Linked DNA regions of Mytilus edulis. The protein of the gene in region 2 purifies or fractionates together with the protein of the main gene of each other region. This does not show direct contact. Links are inferred from orthologs where the notes say so. Each region holds a gene or a part of one and is shown on either strand. Other genes may lie near its edges. The genes, in order: CLK4-associating serine/arginine rich protein-like and cilia- and flagella-associated protein 20.

Region 1 (8,469 bases), on a different chromosome or scaffold from region 2:
TAGAGGTCTAAATTTGTAAGTTTTAGGATTTGTCTCCCTTTAATGCAAGACAAAATACGACTTTAATTAGTCAAATATTGTTAAGCAAGAAATAATTGACCAGAATCAAAAATTTGCAAATGTCGACTCCTACAAATCGATAAGTTACCAAAATTGGTTAACTTCAAGACCCATGCATATTTATAAAAAGGTCATGCATCTAAATCAAATAATGACTACATTGAAAGACAATGCTTTGTCTTCTGAAGAAAAATATGAATGAGAGTATAAAAAATCGGAGATAATGTTAATTAACCTTACAATGCAACCACCTGGAACCACACTTAATGAGGTAAAACATCTGTGTTTAGTAAGGATGTTCAATTAGATAATTAAATATAGATACAATGTAGCTCAAGTCCTTGTGAACACTCAGACAGTTTTTTGCTGTCATAGGTGGTGTACTTTGGCCACCAATTAAAATTAAGTTTTTTCATCAACAAAAATAGACCTAAACAAGTCTGTCATTATCTGACTTAGATAAGTCTAAAATTGAAAACACATTTTTACAATAAATACATGTTTTGTTCTCTTTAAGTCAAATACAGAAATCGACCTATGTCTGAGCTCTGACTGTACATTGTCAAAGTCCGGACTCCTATAATATTTTGCCTGCAACATACATTGTACTCTTCCTAACCAGAACTAACTGGTGTGAATTTATAATGTGAAGGACATTTACTCCTTATAAAATGTAGCAAAATTTTAATAAATGAATTAAAGTTACCATGGTTACATTTGCATTTTAACTTGAAGACGAAAAAAAAAAATGATGATGTGTCATGAATCACAGATGATGCCACTGCTTGTTTTCAAAGTTGCATAGGGACATATACATGATGTAACTGTTGAACAATAAGAGTGAAGCTACCCAACTTGATACTTGATCTGAGTTATGTGTTTTTTAAAATTAGCATGTTGCATAAGTTTCGTAACATTTGGTTGATGCAAACTAAAGTTACATGTAGAGAACTGAAAATTCAGCAATTTTTTACATTATACATTTTTAATGGGGAAAACATTAGAATGGTATGAGGGATGACACCAAAATTTAAAATGGATTTGTGTTTGTGGTAATGAGTGTCGTGTATACATTTGTCACATTTCAGAATATTTGCCATAATTTGGTTGAGGCAAACTGAAGTTTAGTTTGAGAACAGACATGAAAATTTCAACAATTTTTCCATTTGTAACGGAGCATGACTCGAAAACAGTATAAGTGACACCAACAAAATTCAAATTGAGCTGTGTTTTGCAGGTTGGGGACAACCCACCAAATGGGGAACTGTTCCCCAAATGAGTAACAATCCCTCATTTGAGTAATCATTTTGTAGTGCTAAAAACAAAATTTTCTTAACTGAGCTTTTTTTCTTAAAATGGCACATATTCATGAAAAATGCAGCAACTTTTCTAAAAGATGATTATCCTTATCTTAATTTACTGAGAAGATACAAGCCTATGAAAAATCAGAAAATTTGACTATTTTCTAGGCTTCTAACTTTTTTTGAACCCACAATAAAAATTTATTTCTTTGGGAGAAGTTGTTCCATTTTCTATAAATTTGTGCCATTTTAGGCCTAAATTAAAATATTGTTTGTTTGCCCTTTTCCGACCCTATGTTTTGAAACAGGGTAGGTAGGTAGGTAAAATATTTTATTTTTTTCCCCAAAAAAATAACTTGGCTCGGTATATTATTTGTCATGGGTAGGCAGGTAGGTATAATATTTTATTTTATAGATGCATATAAATGTCATTGGTGTCCGTTTTGTTTTTGCAAATAAGTTTTCTGGGACTATTAGTTTAAAAAAAAAATCATGTAGAATGTGAAGCTAATTCATATGCACTACTATTTTGTTTTCAAATATAACTAAATAGAGCTGTGCCGCATATCTTCAACGTTTATATGCCTGAACTTTGAAGAGTTTGAACTTGCACTTATATTCTGTACTACGTACCTTGTATGCTTACCTTAAGAATTTCTGTAAAAGATAACTTTGTACTGATAAGATATGTCTGGGCAGACATACATCACTAGTAGAAAAAGTCCCTAGAGTGTTAAAAACATCGTGTGTGCCTTTGTTTCCAATAAAAATGCTACTAGACCTAAAACTCTGACAATTGTCACGTTTTTTACATCGCATTTATAAATGATCTGTATGGACAACTTGGCGATTTTACTGCAAGATATTCTCCACTTTACAGGGTTTTGTCACTTTTGGTTCATGTCAGATATAAATAATATAGCGGCATCGTTAACATAATCATCAGGAGATCTGCGGATCACAAAAGGCCATCCCTACAAAGAATACAACGTCCGTTTACAAATTAGTTTGTACACAAGATGATAATTTTGTATCAAACGAACTTTTTTGTAAATGAACCATGCTCTTTTAAGTTAAAGGTACAGAGTAGCGTACGTCATATCATGATTTCAGAAAGCGTTCACAAGCTGAAAATCGATTTCAAACAAATGCTTTGAAACTTCAAATGTAAGTGTTAATGTCAAACGCTCAGGTGATACCAAACAGACTGGACCTTGTACGATAAAGATAAAACCCGAGAATTCCGGATAAAATAGTTTTGAGCGGGAAATACAAATATAAGATTTTTGGTAGGAACGAAAAAATAACATAAAATAAAATCTTTCTGGTAAATACAAATAAAAGATTTTCAGGCGCAACGAATTTATAGGGTCGGTCGGTAAAGGGCAAACAATCAATATTTTAATTTAAGCCTTACCTAAAAAGACCTATTTTAAGAAAATTTAGTTTTTAGCATTATGAAATGATTACTCAAATGAGGGATTGTTACTCATTTGGGGAACAGTTCCCCATTTGGCGGGTTGTCCCCAACCTGTTTTGTGGTATTATAACCATTGAGTATAAGTTTCATGAAAACCGATTTTAGGCAAACATGATTTGAGCAAACAGACCCAGATTATCATTAGTGGCTTTGGCATAGAAATGCAGAAGTAGATTATTTCTTTTTTTATAACCTGTAGAGCTATTCTGCACATATATCTGTATATATAGCATACATCAAACTGCAGAACAGAAGCAGTGGTGGGTCCAGGGGTTTCCAGGATTGGAACCCCCTTTTTTAGGAGGATCAATGCATTTGAATGGAGACATATAGTTGGAACACCCCCTAACCCTTCTTTTTGTCCTGGGTTGGGACCCCCTTTTAAAAAAAGACTGGATCTGGCCCTGGGAGATACAAGATATAGATGCCACCATGCATTTTGAAGTCGGTCACTCTTTTTAACTTATGTAGTACTTCAATTTCTTCAAGAACTCTTAGTTACCGGCCACTGCCAATCAATGTCAAATGAGTAAATGGCTAATAATTAATCCCATGGCATAGGCCATACCCGACACAACAAACTCTGCGCATGCAAATGTAAATCTTTACAATTTCTCTCACCTGTGAAACAATTATAAATAGTGTGTGGCTCTCCTTTTGTGCTTATAAGGCTAATAACTAGAAAATTGTCTAATACGGAGCTCAAATTGATCTTGCATTTCGCTTCTGACTAAGCAACAAAGGGAGGTAATCACTAACATGCTTTCGCCCCATATGAAATACCTACTCTTGTCCCAAATTTCCTCGTCCTTGTAACATGTGCAAAATTTGTTTTTCATTTTCACGCAGGGTGTTTCTATACAGAAATAGAAAAATTAAAACCACCAAGACGTCAATTTGAGAAGAAATATGTAATTAAGTTCTCTCTATTTTTTTAAAATTGAAATTATTGATCTGATTCCTGGGTCGAATTAAGCTGCATGGGTATATACTGATCTATACTAAAATGACAGTAATATTTTTGGTAACAGTCCGATGCAGGTCGAAGGCATTCAAGTGATATTAAAGTAGGCTGAAATCAATAATTTCTCATATGGAATCTTATCTATTGAGATAATAATTCAAAAAATTTCATTATTAATTTTCCGCTTTTGAATGGTAATCATTCAGCTCTTTGATGATTTGCCTATCTGTAAACAGATTGCTGTTTTTGCTTTCAAAATTGGCTATCGCTTACTAAGAGCCAGAAAAATAGTAAATTTTCGATTTTGCCGGAGCCATGTCACTGCAAAATTTTAATATCAAACTAGTCAGGCTATTTACGAGAGAGATATCAACGCACGATCTAACATTTATCAGACACGTAAAATGAATGCCACTTTAGTCATCACATGTTATGTCCGACTGGTACTCAAGATAGTCATGCATCATCCGGAATATAGTTACTCATTCCTTTCATATACTGGGGGCGGGGGGGGGGGGTCATACTTGCATTCATGGTTTTAGGCAACTGCTGTTGGAGGAAACTAACATCGGCTGTGAACACAACTGTTTTATCACTAGTTGTGTAAATTAACATCTCATGTGGAAAAAACCCACCATGTTTATTTTAAGGAGCATAAAATTGAGAAAGGAAATGGGGAATGTTTCAAAGCGACAACAACCCGACCATAGAGCATACAACAGCCTAAGGCCACCAATGGGTCTTCAATGTAGCGAGAAACTCCCGCACCCGTAGGTGTCCTTCAGCTGGCCCCTTAAAAAATATGTATACTAGTACAGTGATAATGCACGTCATACTAAACTCCGAATTATACACAAGAAACTAAAACTAAAAATCATACAAGACTAACAAAGGCCAGAGGCTCCTGACTTGGGACAGACGCAAAATTGCGGCGGGGTTAAACATGTTTATGAGATCTCAACCCTCCCCCTATACCTATATAGACAATGTAGAAAAGTAAACGCATAACAATACGCACATTAACATTCAGTTCAAGAGAAGTCCGAGTCCGATGTCAGAAGATGTAACAAAAGAAAATAAATAAAATGACAATAATACATAAATAACAACAGACTACTAGCAGTTAACTGACATGCCAGCTCCAGACCTCAAATAAACTGATTGAAAGATTATGTCAGGTTAATATCAGGTACAATCCCTCCCGTTAGGGGTTTAATATCGTACTATCATAAAATATATGAGAAGAACATAACCCGTGTCATGCCAACAACTGTTTTTTTCAAATAAATGTGTTTAGTTTCGATGCAAAGACCCTATAAGTGAATCAATATTAAAGCCAAAATATGCAATCTTTAATGACCTGACAACAGTATCGTAACTATATCCTCTCTGTTTAAAGGTTTTGTAAGCTTTTGAGGTGAATACTAACATTTTTGTGCTTTGTAAAGAATATTACCATAAAAGATTGGATGTGAAATACCTGAACGTATAAGATGTCTGCATGTTGAGTTATATTTACGAATTATTTCCTTATACCGATGAGAAAATTTAGTAAATGTTTTGACTAGTTTGTGATATCGAAAACCCTGGTGTTATAATTTTTCAGTAATACACAAATTACTCTCGCTAAAATCTAATACGTTGTTACATACACGAGCGAATCGTACAAGTTGAGATATATAAACACCATAAGACGGTGACAAGGGAACGTCATCATCTAAAAATGGATAATTAACGATAGGAAATGAAAAATCATCTCTTTTATCATAAATTTTTGTATTAAGCTTCCCGTTAATGATATAGATATCAAGATCGAGGAAAGGGCAGTGGTCATTGCTAGTATTAGCTTTATCAAAAGTAAATTCAACAGGACAAATTTCTTTAGTATACATACTGAAGTCGTCATTATTGAGAGCCAATATATTATCCAAATATCTAAAAGCATTGTTAAATTTTTGTATCAAATGTTGTTTCGATGGGTCTTTGCTAATTTTAGTCATAGATTGTAACTCATAACAATACAAAAACAGGTCCGCAATAAGTGGTGCACAGTTAGTCCTCATTGGAATTCCAATAACTTGACGATATATGGAATCTCCAAAGCGAACAAAGATGTTATCAAGTAAAAATTCAAGCGCATATATAGTATCAAAGCATGTCCAATTGACATAGTTCTTTTGTTTATTGCTTCTAAAAAATGACCTAAAAGAGTTTGAACATATGTACTCAGTCGCATTCTGACTTTTTAAATGCCCATTTAATTAGGGATGTGAATTTTTTCTTAATAAGAATATGAGGCAAAGTGGTATATAGGGTAGAAAAATCAAAACTTTGAACAGATTTAAAATCACCAATATATGCATGCAATTTATCAGGTACTTCCAACGAGTTTTTGACACTCCAAAAGTAATTAATTCCACTATGTTCAAAGGCCTTATTTGAACAATTTATTATCAGGTTTTTTATTGTACCAAGTGTACTAGTAAGTAGAATAGACAATTTAGTAGTGGATCAATGGTTTCCCTTGAAGATGAAATAAATCTATTTTTTTAAGGTTTTTTGTGTAGCTTCGGAAGCCAGTACATAGTTGGGACTTTCATTGTATTTGGCTTCGCTCTCACCCCATATGGAATTTACTGACCCCATATATACCGTATTAGGTCACTAGCACACTATACGATAACTAATAATATCCACCAATGGAATGTATGAAGTAGATGTGAGTCAGATGTAAGCAATAATAGGCAACTGTTCGGCCTTCAGCATAATATTAAGAAGAAATAAAGCATACAGTATAGTTCGGCTATAAAAGGCCCCGACATAAAAAATATGAAATAACTCAATGAGAAAAACAATTGTCTAATTCATCGCAAAACAATTTACGAAAACCAAATATGACAGATATGAACCAACGAAAACCGACCATGAACAACAGTTTCTTTATATATATAGAATCTCTAAAGAAAACAAATAAGTTAGTTAATAAGTTTTGAACGGGAAGGGTGCATAAATACGTAGAAACGTTCGGAGCTACACGACTATGCAAAAGTTTTTACTTGAAAGGTCAAATGTAACAACATTAGATTAATTCTAATAATAGTTTTATAAAATAAGACAATGGATGGAGTCTTCAATTGAAACCATTCCTATTTGTTTAATCAGCAAAGTGACACGTTATCCCTTGAGGAAAAGTAATGAACGCCAGTATTTATACAATTTCAAATGAAAATAATATCGTTTTCTCTGGGACGTCCCAGGTTCTCTAGGGCAGTTTAGAAATGTGCTAAACATAAAAAAAAATGTCACGTGTGTTTTTATTTTTAAAGCCCTTTCAGTCTTCAGCTCTGAAAATCCTGAAAGAATGGAATTTACTGACCTCATATATATCGTATTAGGCCACTAACATATATATAGATATAAATAGATATAGCGAACTCGTGCAATTAGATTAGATGGGTCTGTTTAATTTCATGTTATAGCTAGATGAAAAACAATGCTTATCATCGCTTTTAACTGTATGATTGATTTTTTGTTGATCGAATAAGTCAATTAAATGATTTACCCTCGTTTCACTTGCAACTGCTCTTTTCCTTATGAACAAAACAGAACAAACACAATTCATGCGTTATAAATCTCTAGCTAAGGATTAAATTAAAGTTCACATGAATACGGCTGTCAATGAGGTCGATTGATTGACTTGTAAGTTGAAACATGTTCATACATCATACTGTAATTGTGATATCCTGTATTACTTACATAGTTCACCTTATTTCTTTGTTTATATATTGTGTATTGTGTATTTTAATCTGATTCGTTCAGAGATAGTCACATGTTAAACTATATTTTCGAAGGAAGATAGAAAACAGCGGATAGTGGCAAAAGCATATAGTGCACGGTTATTTTTAGAATATCTAAAAAACGATATACTTTATGAAGTCATGTAATGAATTTCATGATATAAAAGTTAAAAAAAAATATATATATTTATGATCGATTATTAGAACAAAAATGTTTCCAATACATAAGACGCACAAACAAGTTTTTCTCTTTAAAAAAAAAGAAAAGCAATACATGAACCTAAGACCGCTGACTGCCGGTTCACCAAAAGATTGTTGCTGAATTTGTGTTTGCTTTTGAATTGAAATAATTGACTGTGAATAGAAGAAGCATGTTGAAAGTATATATTTACAGCTTCTATTTTAATAGTTATTTTAAAGCTCGACTTTTTTTATATATTACTGGGGAATGTACATATTTTTCCCGATTATAATCCATTGGCAAATCCTAATTTCTACTAACCGGATGACTTATGCAAATTGCACAAACCTATCGCAATATAAATTTATGCACTCAGTTTGCTTTATAATCTGGAATTCTGGATGCATTTATTTTATCTATCACATCTTTATATTTTGTTTCCTAAATGAATGCCTTGATATTCTCAACTCCTATTTGAAGCTGTCTTTACTCATGGTATATATGTTGTATGCGGTTAAACCTGTGGCATGCAATTGATTGGGACCTCTCATGAAGAGACTTATTTTGGTCTCATAAAACATCTCAAATTTTAAGGATTTCCTGATTTTACTTAAATCAATTCAAACATTATACAGAGAAACTTAGTTTTGCCAAAGAATTTCTAAATTCAGAAGTTTATGAATACC
Region 2 (8,155 bases):
TCAGGAAAAGACAACTTCGAAATATATATAAAATAAAATATTGCAATAAATCCCAACTTAAAATGGAATTAAATCTTCTTTATTTTGTATTCTATTCAAATGCTAGATGCAATTTGTGTTTTAAAAATATCCTGAGAATTACGGGAGATATGGAGATCTACAGGCAAATACAACCAAATTTAAACTTTACATTATTATCTGCATATCAATAAGTACTATATGTGTGGAATATAAACACAGTATAAAATTTGAAAACATTGTTTTTAAAGCACTAAATGTCATTTTGTTCCAGAAAGACAATAATATCAAATCATTTATGCAAAATTAATAAACAATTTTTAAATCTGGCTGTATAATTGCACCGAGTCTTCCTATAAATATGAAAATAACTGTTCATGCAACAAGAGATATATGAAATATGACATCAATGACAATTTAAAATGAACACTTTGTTTCGTATATGATCATGGCATATTCAACGAGACTCTAGGCAGGAATCAGCCATGTTTGATTGGTCTCTCGTACAACATTTTTGCAAGACATTTGTAAAAACAGGCAGCATCTCTTAATATCCAACATTCTCGCAATAATTCACCTTCAGTTCTTGAGTAGCATTTGAACATTTTTATTTTTCGTATAATTTATATACACTGTCTAATTAGTCATTTTGTTATGCTTTCACGCCTCCTTTATTTTGCACCGGAAGGTATAATTTAAATTCTGCGGGTAATTCATCTTCTGAATAAAGTCTGTCTGAGAAGTAAACTCTACGAATTCGACAATTGGCATGAATCTGAAAAAAGAAATAGAAACAATAAATCAAAATATCACTGTAATAAATGGGTATTAAAAAATGCAAAACTGTACATCAAAAGTTTGTTATAAAATTGTTGAAAGGCTACCATCTCTCAATTCTTTTTTACACTATTTCCTGAAAAGGACCAATTTCTTTTTTGTTCTTGTAAAATAAAGTAACTATTTGTTTGTGTGGTACAATATATTTCCTTATTTTACCATAATTCCCAAGACCTTAACCTTAAACATAAGATTGTGACAATTTAACCTGATTTATACATTGACAAGTTAATCAATACTAACCTGTACTCTAAGTGTTTCAATGTAATTTGTTCCATAGGCTCTCCTTGTGAAATCTGACAAGTTGAATTGAATTTGATTCCATCCATCATCTAACCTCATTGGCATAGTACATATAAATGGTTTTACACGTGTTGTACTTTGGTAGTTACTAGCTCTGAATCTTCGTCTCACATTTTTGTCATCTAAGACCTAAAATATTACAGAAAGAAATGTTATAAAAGGACTTAAGACCATCATGGTTAAGTCATTGTCTATTGACTCGTCACTTATTTATACTAAATTGCAACAGAAATAGTAAAAAAAACATTTGAAGAATTATGCACATTTGTGTGTTTATTTATTTATATTTCTGAACAGAAATCCAATGGGTTCTTTTAAAGTAACATGTTTTTTTTTGTAAAGATAAGTTTCTTCATTTAACATATTCACATTTCATGCTTAGTGATAGAATTGCATAACTAACATTTTTAGGTCGACTTTAAATTAAAAATATAATTGCTACATTCTTACCTGTACTTCAAATGTGAAATATTTCTTTAAGTTTTTGATGATCATAACTAAGAATGGAAGTTTAATTCCTAATGTTTTCTTTGGGTCTGCTGGACATGTGATGTATGTTGTGCTATAAATAGAAAAGGGAAATATCAAAATATTATTCATACCGGTACATTTGTTACTAGAAATAAAAAGTATGTTCTTTCAATAATTAATTTTAAAATTCAGTCAATAAACATACAAGATTTAACATAAAATGTGCATTTATTTAAGTAGAAAAACAATTCAAACTTGTTATGTTGTAAGAACAAATAATTTTAACACTTGTAGCATAGAAAATATTTAAAAGATTAACATTTTAAAGAAAATATTTTCAAAGTACTAATGTGTTACAGAATCACTTTAAAAACTTGCACATGTCACTTGACATAATAAAGATGTTTAAAATAATATAGGATGCAGTATTCAACTAATTATATTGAATATGTAATGTTTTGCATAAATAAGAATAATTAAAATTGCATTAAATGAAAGTTAGCTATATTTGTCTCATTAAATAACCAAATGCATGTATATTTGTGTTTGATTATGTGTTACCATAGATGTTACTTAAGGGAGATAATTCAAAATTATCTCTTTTTCAAAACAAAGAAATATTTGTTTATGGTTGATTAAGTACATACCTGACATTTGTACCAACAATTTCTAAAACTAAGGACTGGATATCGTTGTCTGTTATACGTTTAATATGACCATTTCTAACCTACAACGATAATAACATGATGTTATAATATTGTCTATTAGAATGCAAATGGCGGCCATGATGTTGATGATCAGGAAACAAAATACTATCTTGGCAACGGAGGTCTAACTCCATGCAAAATTATATAACATACTTTATTTATCGTTAACTAGTAGTGTTTTTCTAATAAAATGTTCTATAATGTGCAATTGAATGAAAATAATGACATAGAATTCAATGAAGCGAGATGACGAACATCTCCATCTTCATAAACATCAACATCACATATGGCTACTAAAAGTGACATTACTTCCGAAAAATTAATAATTGTACACTTCCGTCATCATAAATCTCGATGGTAGTGTATAAAATTAAAATATTTGTGTATAACATATAACATTCAAACACTTGTAAGTTGTTTACACGTGCACTTCCGTGTGTCAACAAAAACAAAAGTTTCTTGCTTGTCAAATGCCTTAATTTTTCGAAATAGAAATCTGGTGATGACACCATATAATATTAAACTAATTGTGAAGCAAGTTATGCATACTGTCATGTTATTATTAGATGAAGTTGAAGGTTTTCATGTTGACATCAATGTATCACTATGGTAATGATAACCGGTGTATAGAATGAAAATAACTTACCTTTTTGTCCCAAATTTGTAACGGTTTACTTCCAATACTGTAAAGTATGGATAAGAACCCACTCTGAAATGTATTCTTGAACATTGTTATTGTCTATAATAGTGAAAATTTTCTAAGTTCTTAGTCCTCCTGGACAGCACACTAATACGCTCCTTCTCTCGTGGTGGACAGTTGTCAAGTGAAGGTTCAGTTGTGTGTCGGTTAAGTTAGAGAAGTTGCCAAGGGTGGCGATACGGTCGCGCTTGGTTTTAGTTGCTACGTGTGACGCTAGGGAACTATATTGAGAATTAGTATAAACACATATATTATTGTTATTCTTTTAAATTATTTATATCAATAATGCAGTTTGAAAATTACCAGAAAGTTTCAACCTATGTCATGCCTTAATTAAAAAGATATTTGAATATATGGATTTGGAGTAGTGATATATGTAGTGGCACGCTTAGTACTTCTGTTGTAGCGAGTAGACGACACACGTGGTTTTATTTACATTGATCATTCGTTGTTTTACAGTGTATTTTTTGGTGAATATCAACAACTTAAGTAATTTGTGGAATCTGATTAAAAAACTGGTCTTAATATTTGCAAGAGGTAAATTAAATAGGTGTTTGGCGATAATTTCATGTCAAAGTATACTGTTTTCTAAAAAAAAAAGATTTATTTTTTTCCCCGTTTTTTTTTTTACTGAAATGATGAAGATTGAGTGCTGTAAAACGTCTAGTGGTCCATTGATAGAAAATCATGGCGAATCAGAGTTAACCACTTGAGGTAAGGTTAGTACTAGCCTTACTCGTCTATATAATGCCTAGTGTAGAATATGTTGGTTTTTTATTGGGGGGAGGGGGTCTGATTAGAAAAAAAGAAACTGATATCAATTGTAAAGTATACACATCCTTTTAATTAAAGTGTATTTGAATTAAAAGATCATAAGAATCCGCAAGCTTTGTCAACCTTTATTACAGTAAATTTAAATAGTAGCGGATTGAGAAAGCTCATCACATATTGATGCAGTTTGGAGTATCCAAAAGTAACGTATTTTTTTAGTAAAAATAGATTTCGTTTAATATTTAAATATTTTTTTCATATTGATAGGACTGAGCAAATTGGTGTATTTGAAATATGATGAAATATCATTGATTATAGAAATTATAATTTACTAAAAAAAAATTATATGAAATAGAATATTAATGTGAACTCGGCGTAGTATAAAACATATAACCTTTAACTTATCATGCTTATTAGGTTTTCCCCCGAATAAAAATGGGATACAAAATACATCTGTGAATATAGCCATTGATCATCCCAAGTAACTAGATTGCGTACATAAATCAAACCGTAAGATTTCTCATTTAAATTGTTTTATATTTTTCATTTTGGGGTCATTTATATATAGCTAACTATTATGCGGTATGGGTTTTGTTCATTTATGAAGGCCGCGTATGGTGATTTGCACTTGTTTATTTATGTCATATGGTGGAGAGTTGACTTATTGGCAATCATAACACTTCTTATTTCTAGGTCTTAAAGGAAAGATAAGATAATTTACGCTGAATCTCATCTGCATGATCAAACAATGACCCCCCCCCCTTTTAACTTGAAAAAAAAGAAAAAGAAAATCCTTTTCTTCAATTATTACAAGTCATTTGTGGCTGGATAGCGATATTTAAACTCCGATTATAAAATTTATTTGTATTTTTATACAATATTATATTGTTTTTATGTGTATGAAAAAAAAGAAAACAATATTCAAAGTTCAGAATAAGTAATCGCAAGTTTTAAGATGAAACTTGGCGATATATTGATCCAAATGTGCTTTATGAAGTAATAATTGCGACAGATGTTATTCTGATGATGTTGAGGATGAAATTCATTTTTGTCGAGCCTTCGACTTTAGTCGAAAAAGCGAGACTAAGCGATCCTACATTCCGTCGTCCTCGGTGTCGTCGTCGGCGGCGTCCACAAATATTCCCTCTGTGGTTAAAGTTTTTGAAATTTGAATAACTTTCTCAAACGATCCTGGATTTCTACCAAACTAGGACAGAAGCTTGTTTATGATCAAAAGATAATATCCAGAAGTAAATTTTGTAAAAATAAAATTCCATTTTTTCCGTATTTTACTTATAAATGGACTGCCTGGAAATATTACATTCACTCTGTGGTTAAAGTTTTTAAAATTTTAATAACTTTCTTAAACTATCCTGGGTTGGTACCAAACTTGGACAGAAGATTGTTTATGATCATAAGATAGTATCCAGAAGTAAATTTTGTTTTCTTCTAGTTAACATTACATTCAGTGTACAGTTAAATTTTTTAAACATTTATTACATAAACTATCCTGGATTTTTACCAAACTTGGACAGAAGCTTCTTACAATCAAAAGATAGTATCAACAGGAATATTTTATTGATTTGTTTCCTCATTTTTGTTGAGCTTGCGATTAACAGAAAGAGTAGGCGAGACACTGGGTTCCGCGGAACCCTCACGAATTTTTCTTTTATAATGTTCCTATTTGTCGACCCTTCGACTTTAGTCGAAAAAGCGAGACATAGCGATCCTACATTCCGTCGACGTCGTCGGCGTCCACAAATATTCACTCTGTGGTTAAAGTTTTTTTTAAAGTTTTAATAACTTTCTTAAACCATACTGGATTTCTACCAAACACTGACAGAAGCTTTTTTATGATCATAAGGTAGTATCCAAAAGTAAATTTTGTAAAAATAAAATTCCATTTTTTTCCGTATTTTACATATAAATGGACTTAGTTATGCGTTTACTTTTCTTAATTGGCTATATATATAGAGATCTCATAAACATGTTTAACCCCGCCGCAATTTTGTGCCTGTCCCAAGTCAGGAGCCTCTGACCTTTGTTGGTCTTGTATGATTTTTAATTTTAGTCTTTTGTTTATAATTCGGAGTTTAGTATGACGTCCATTATCACTGTACTAGTATACATATTTTAGCGGCCAGCTGAAGGACACCTACGGGTGCGGGAATTCTCGCTACATTGAAGACCCATTGGTGGCCTTCGGCTGTTGTCTGCTATATGGTCGGGTTGTTATCGCTTTGACACATTCCCCATTTCCTTTCTCAATTTAAGTTTTTATGCGGGGAAACATTACATTCACTCTGTGGTTAAAAGTTTTTAAAATTTTAATAACTTTCTTATACTATTTTTAATTTGTACCAAACTTGGACAGAAGCTTATTTATGATCAAATGCTAGAATCTAAAAGGAAATTTTGTCAAAATTGTGTTCCTGTGTATCGGCATGCATTTCACTTATAAATGCACTTTTCTTCCAATTAACATTACATACAGTCTGCAGTTAAAGTTTTTAAAACATTTATTAGATTCATAAACTAATCTGGATTTTTACCAAACTTGGACAGAAGCTTCTTACAATCAAAAGATAGTATCAAGAGAAATATTTTTATTGATTTTTTTCCTCATTTTTGTTGAGCCTGCGACTTACAGCAATAGTAGGCGAGAAACTGGGTTCCACGAACCCTTACGAATTTATTTAATCAGCAGCGGAACCCCTTATGAATTTATTTAATCAGTAAAGAACTTTTTTCCTTTACTATAGCTATATCACCGAAAAAGTCCATCTTTATATACATAGACATATATGCAGATGTATATGTCTCGGGTTTTATTTAAGCATCTTAAAATAATCTTATCATAGGACTTTGATTAGCAAACAGTAAAATTTTGGTACAATACCCGGTGATTTGAGCATTTATATACATAAGGAGAAGACTCTGTCCACAAGATGAGCACGTACTAATTCCAACCAATCCAATATTGATAGGGTTGACCATTTTTATGAAAATATGGAGATGTGGTATGATCGCCAATGAGACAACTATCCACCAAAGTTAAAATGAAGTGGATGAAACCATATTAAGCACGCGTACATTTACAGGGAACATGGATGATTAGCAAGTCAAGGTTATGCGACACTTCAGATTGCTGTTTGCTAAACGTCCAGTTGCAAATATTTCATGTATGTTTGCTGTGTTCGCCGATTACATTGGTACTTGCAGTAAAATACGGATATTGCTTAAATCATATTTACGGTCATGAATTTGGGAAACTAAAAAGGAATAATTCTACCTAATGCAAAGCTGATTCCTTGTTCGGTTTTGGCGATACTTGTTAGGTCCCTTTCGATTTGATTTCCTCTTCGTCGTTTGTATTGGTGTTGGTTTTTTAAAATAATTTGGTCTCCAATTATCTTTGAAAAAGACGTTGTAATACGCATCTAGTGCATTAAAATTAGCGTATCGTTCGAGCTGTAATCCACCCAACTGTGTAGCTAGTCACACAGTTTTTCTGATCTCATTTTCATATTTTTACTCGGGTGATAGTGTTACTCTAAAACTTTTATTCCATTACACAAAGATGGAGATTTTTCCAAATGAATATCAAGTACACGGGGATTTTCAATTGCATGATTTTGAAAAGAATGAAAAGGATGTAGATTTTTTTTTTAATAAAATCTAGACAAATAATTTTCTAGGGAGGCATTGTAAATGCACTTTTCAACAACATTTTCATTTGAAAATAAATACAAAACTTCCCAAAATCTCTCCTATACTGGCAAAAATTATTGCATCATTTTCAATTATTTCACTTCAGCTATTTTTATTTTAGAAAAATGCAAGACTCACGCGAGACTACTCTAATATTTATTTTCATTGGAAAGATTGAGTCATGTGTCAATATTATGACATTATGAGAACAATTTAGCGTTCACGAAGTTGTTCATTGTGTCAGGTTGGTGTTAATTAGGCACATCGAAATGTGATCGAACGTTTACAAATCCTAAATTTGATACTTTTTAATATTTTAAACCCCTCAAAAATAAAATAAAAAAACCCACCTTGCAACACCTTCCATAGTTCCAGTCAATGCCAGTAAAAACCAGAAAACTATAATTTAAACATATTCTTCTTTCCAGTTCATAGCTATGAGACTGCAAGACAACATAATAGTGGGTAAACCGTTTTCTCATTCGAATTGTTTCAGGTAGATACTATTTGATTTATTTTGGGTGCTATGATGAAATTTTTTATCCAGCCTTTTTAAGTTGAAATCTCTGTCCCGACTTTTTACATACACTCAAAACTCATGTTCTGCCTTTTTTTCAAATAACATCCTAGCTCCCTT

The links.
Region 1: the proteins of cilia- and flagella-associated protein 20 (region 2) and CLK4-associating serine/arginine rich protein-like purify together in Homo sapiens (affinity purification with mass spectrometry; 3 studies listed by BioGRID and IntAct, counting the BioPlex papers as one, with this or other methods). This does not show direct contact. The link is inferred for Mytilus edulis from reciprocal best matches to the Homo sapiens genes CFAP20 and CLASRP.

Annotation. Positions count from the first base shown.
Region 1 is NC_092346.1:7,115,930-7,124,398, reverse strand, and holds the start of CLK4-associating serine/arginine rich protein-like, read right to left. Parts: upstream 3,601-8,469; 5' UTR 3,463-3,600; intron 1-3,462. UniProt on the Homo sapiens protein: Probably functions as an alternative splicing regulator. May regulate the mRNA splicing of genes such as CLK1. May act by regulating members of the CLK kinase family.
Region 2 is NC_092348.1:4,770,601-4,778,755, reverse strand, and holds the start of cilia- and flagella-associated protein 20, read right to left. Parts: upstream 3,418-8,155; 5' UTR 3,067-3,417; coding exon 2,983-3,066; intron 2,357-2,982; coding exon 2,277-2,356; intron 1,721-2,276; coding exon 1,609-1,720; intron 1,288-1,608; coding exon 1,099-1,287; intron 794-1,098; coding exon 671-793; 3' UTR 1-670. UniProt on the Homo sapiens protein: Cilium- and flagellum-specific protein that plays a role in axonemal structure organization and motility. Microtubule inner protein (MIP) part of the dynein-decorated doublet microtubules (DMTs) in cilia axoneme, which is required for motile cilia beating.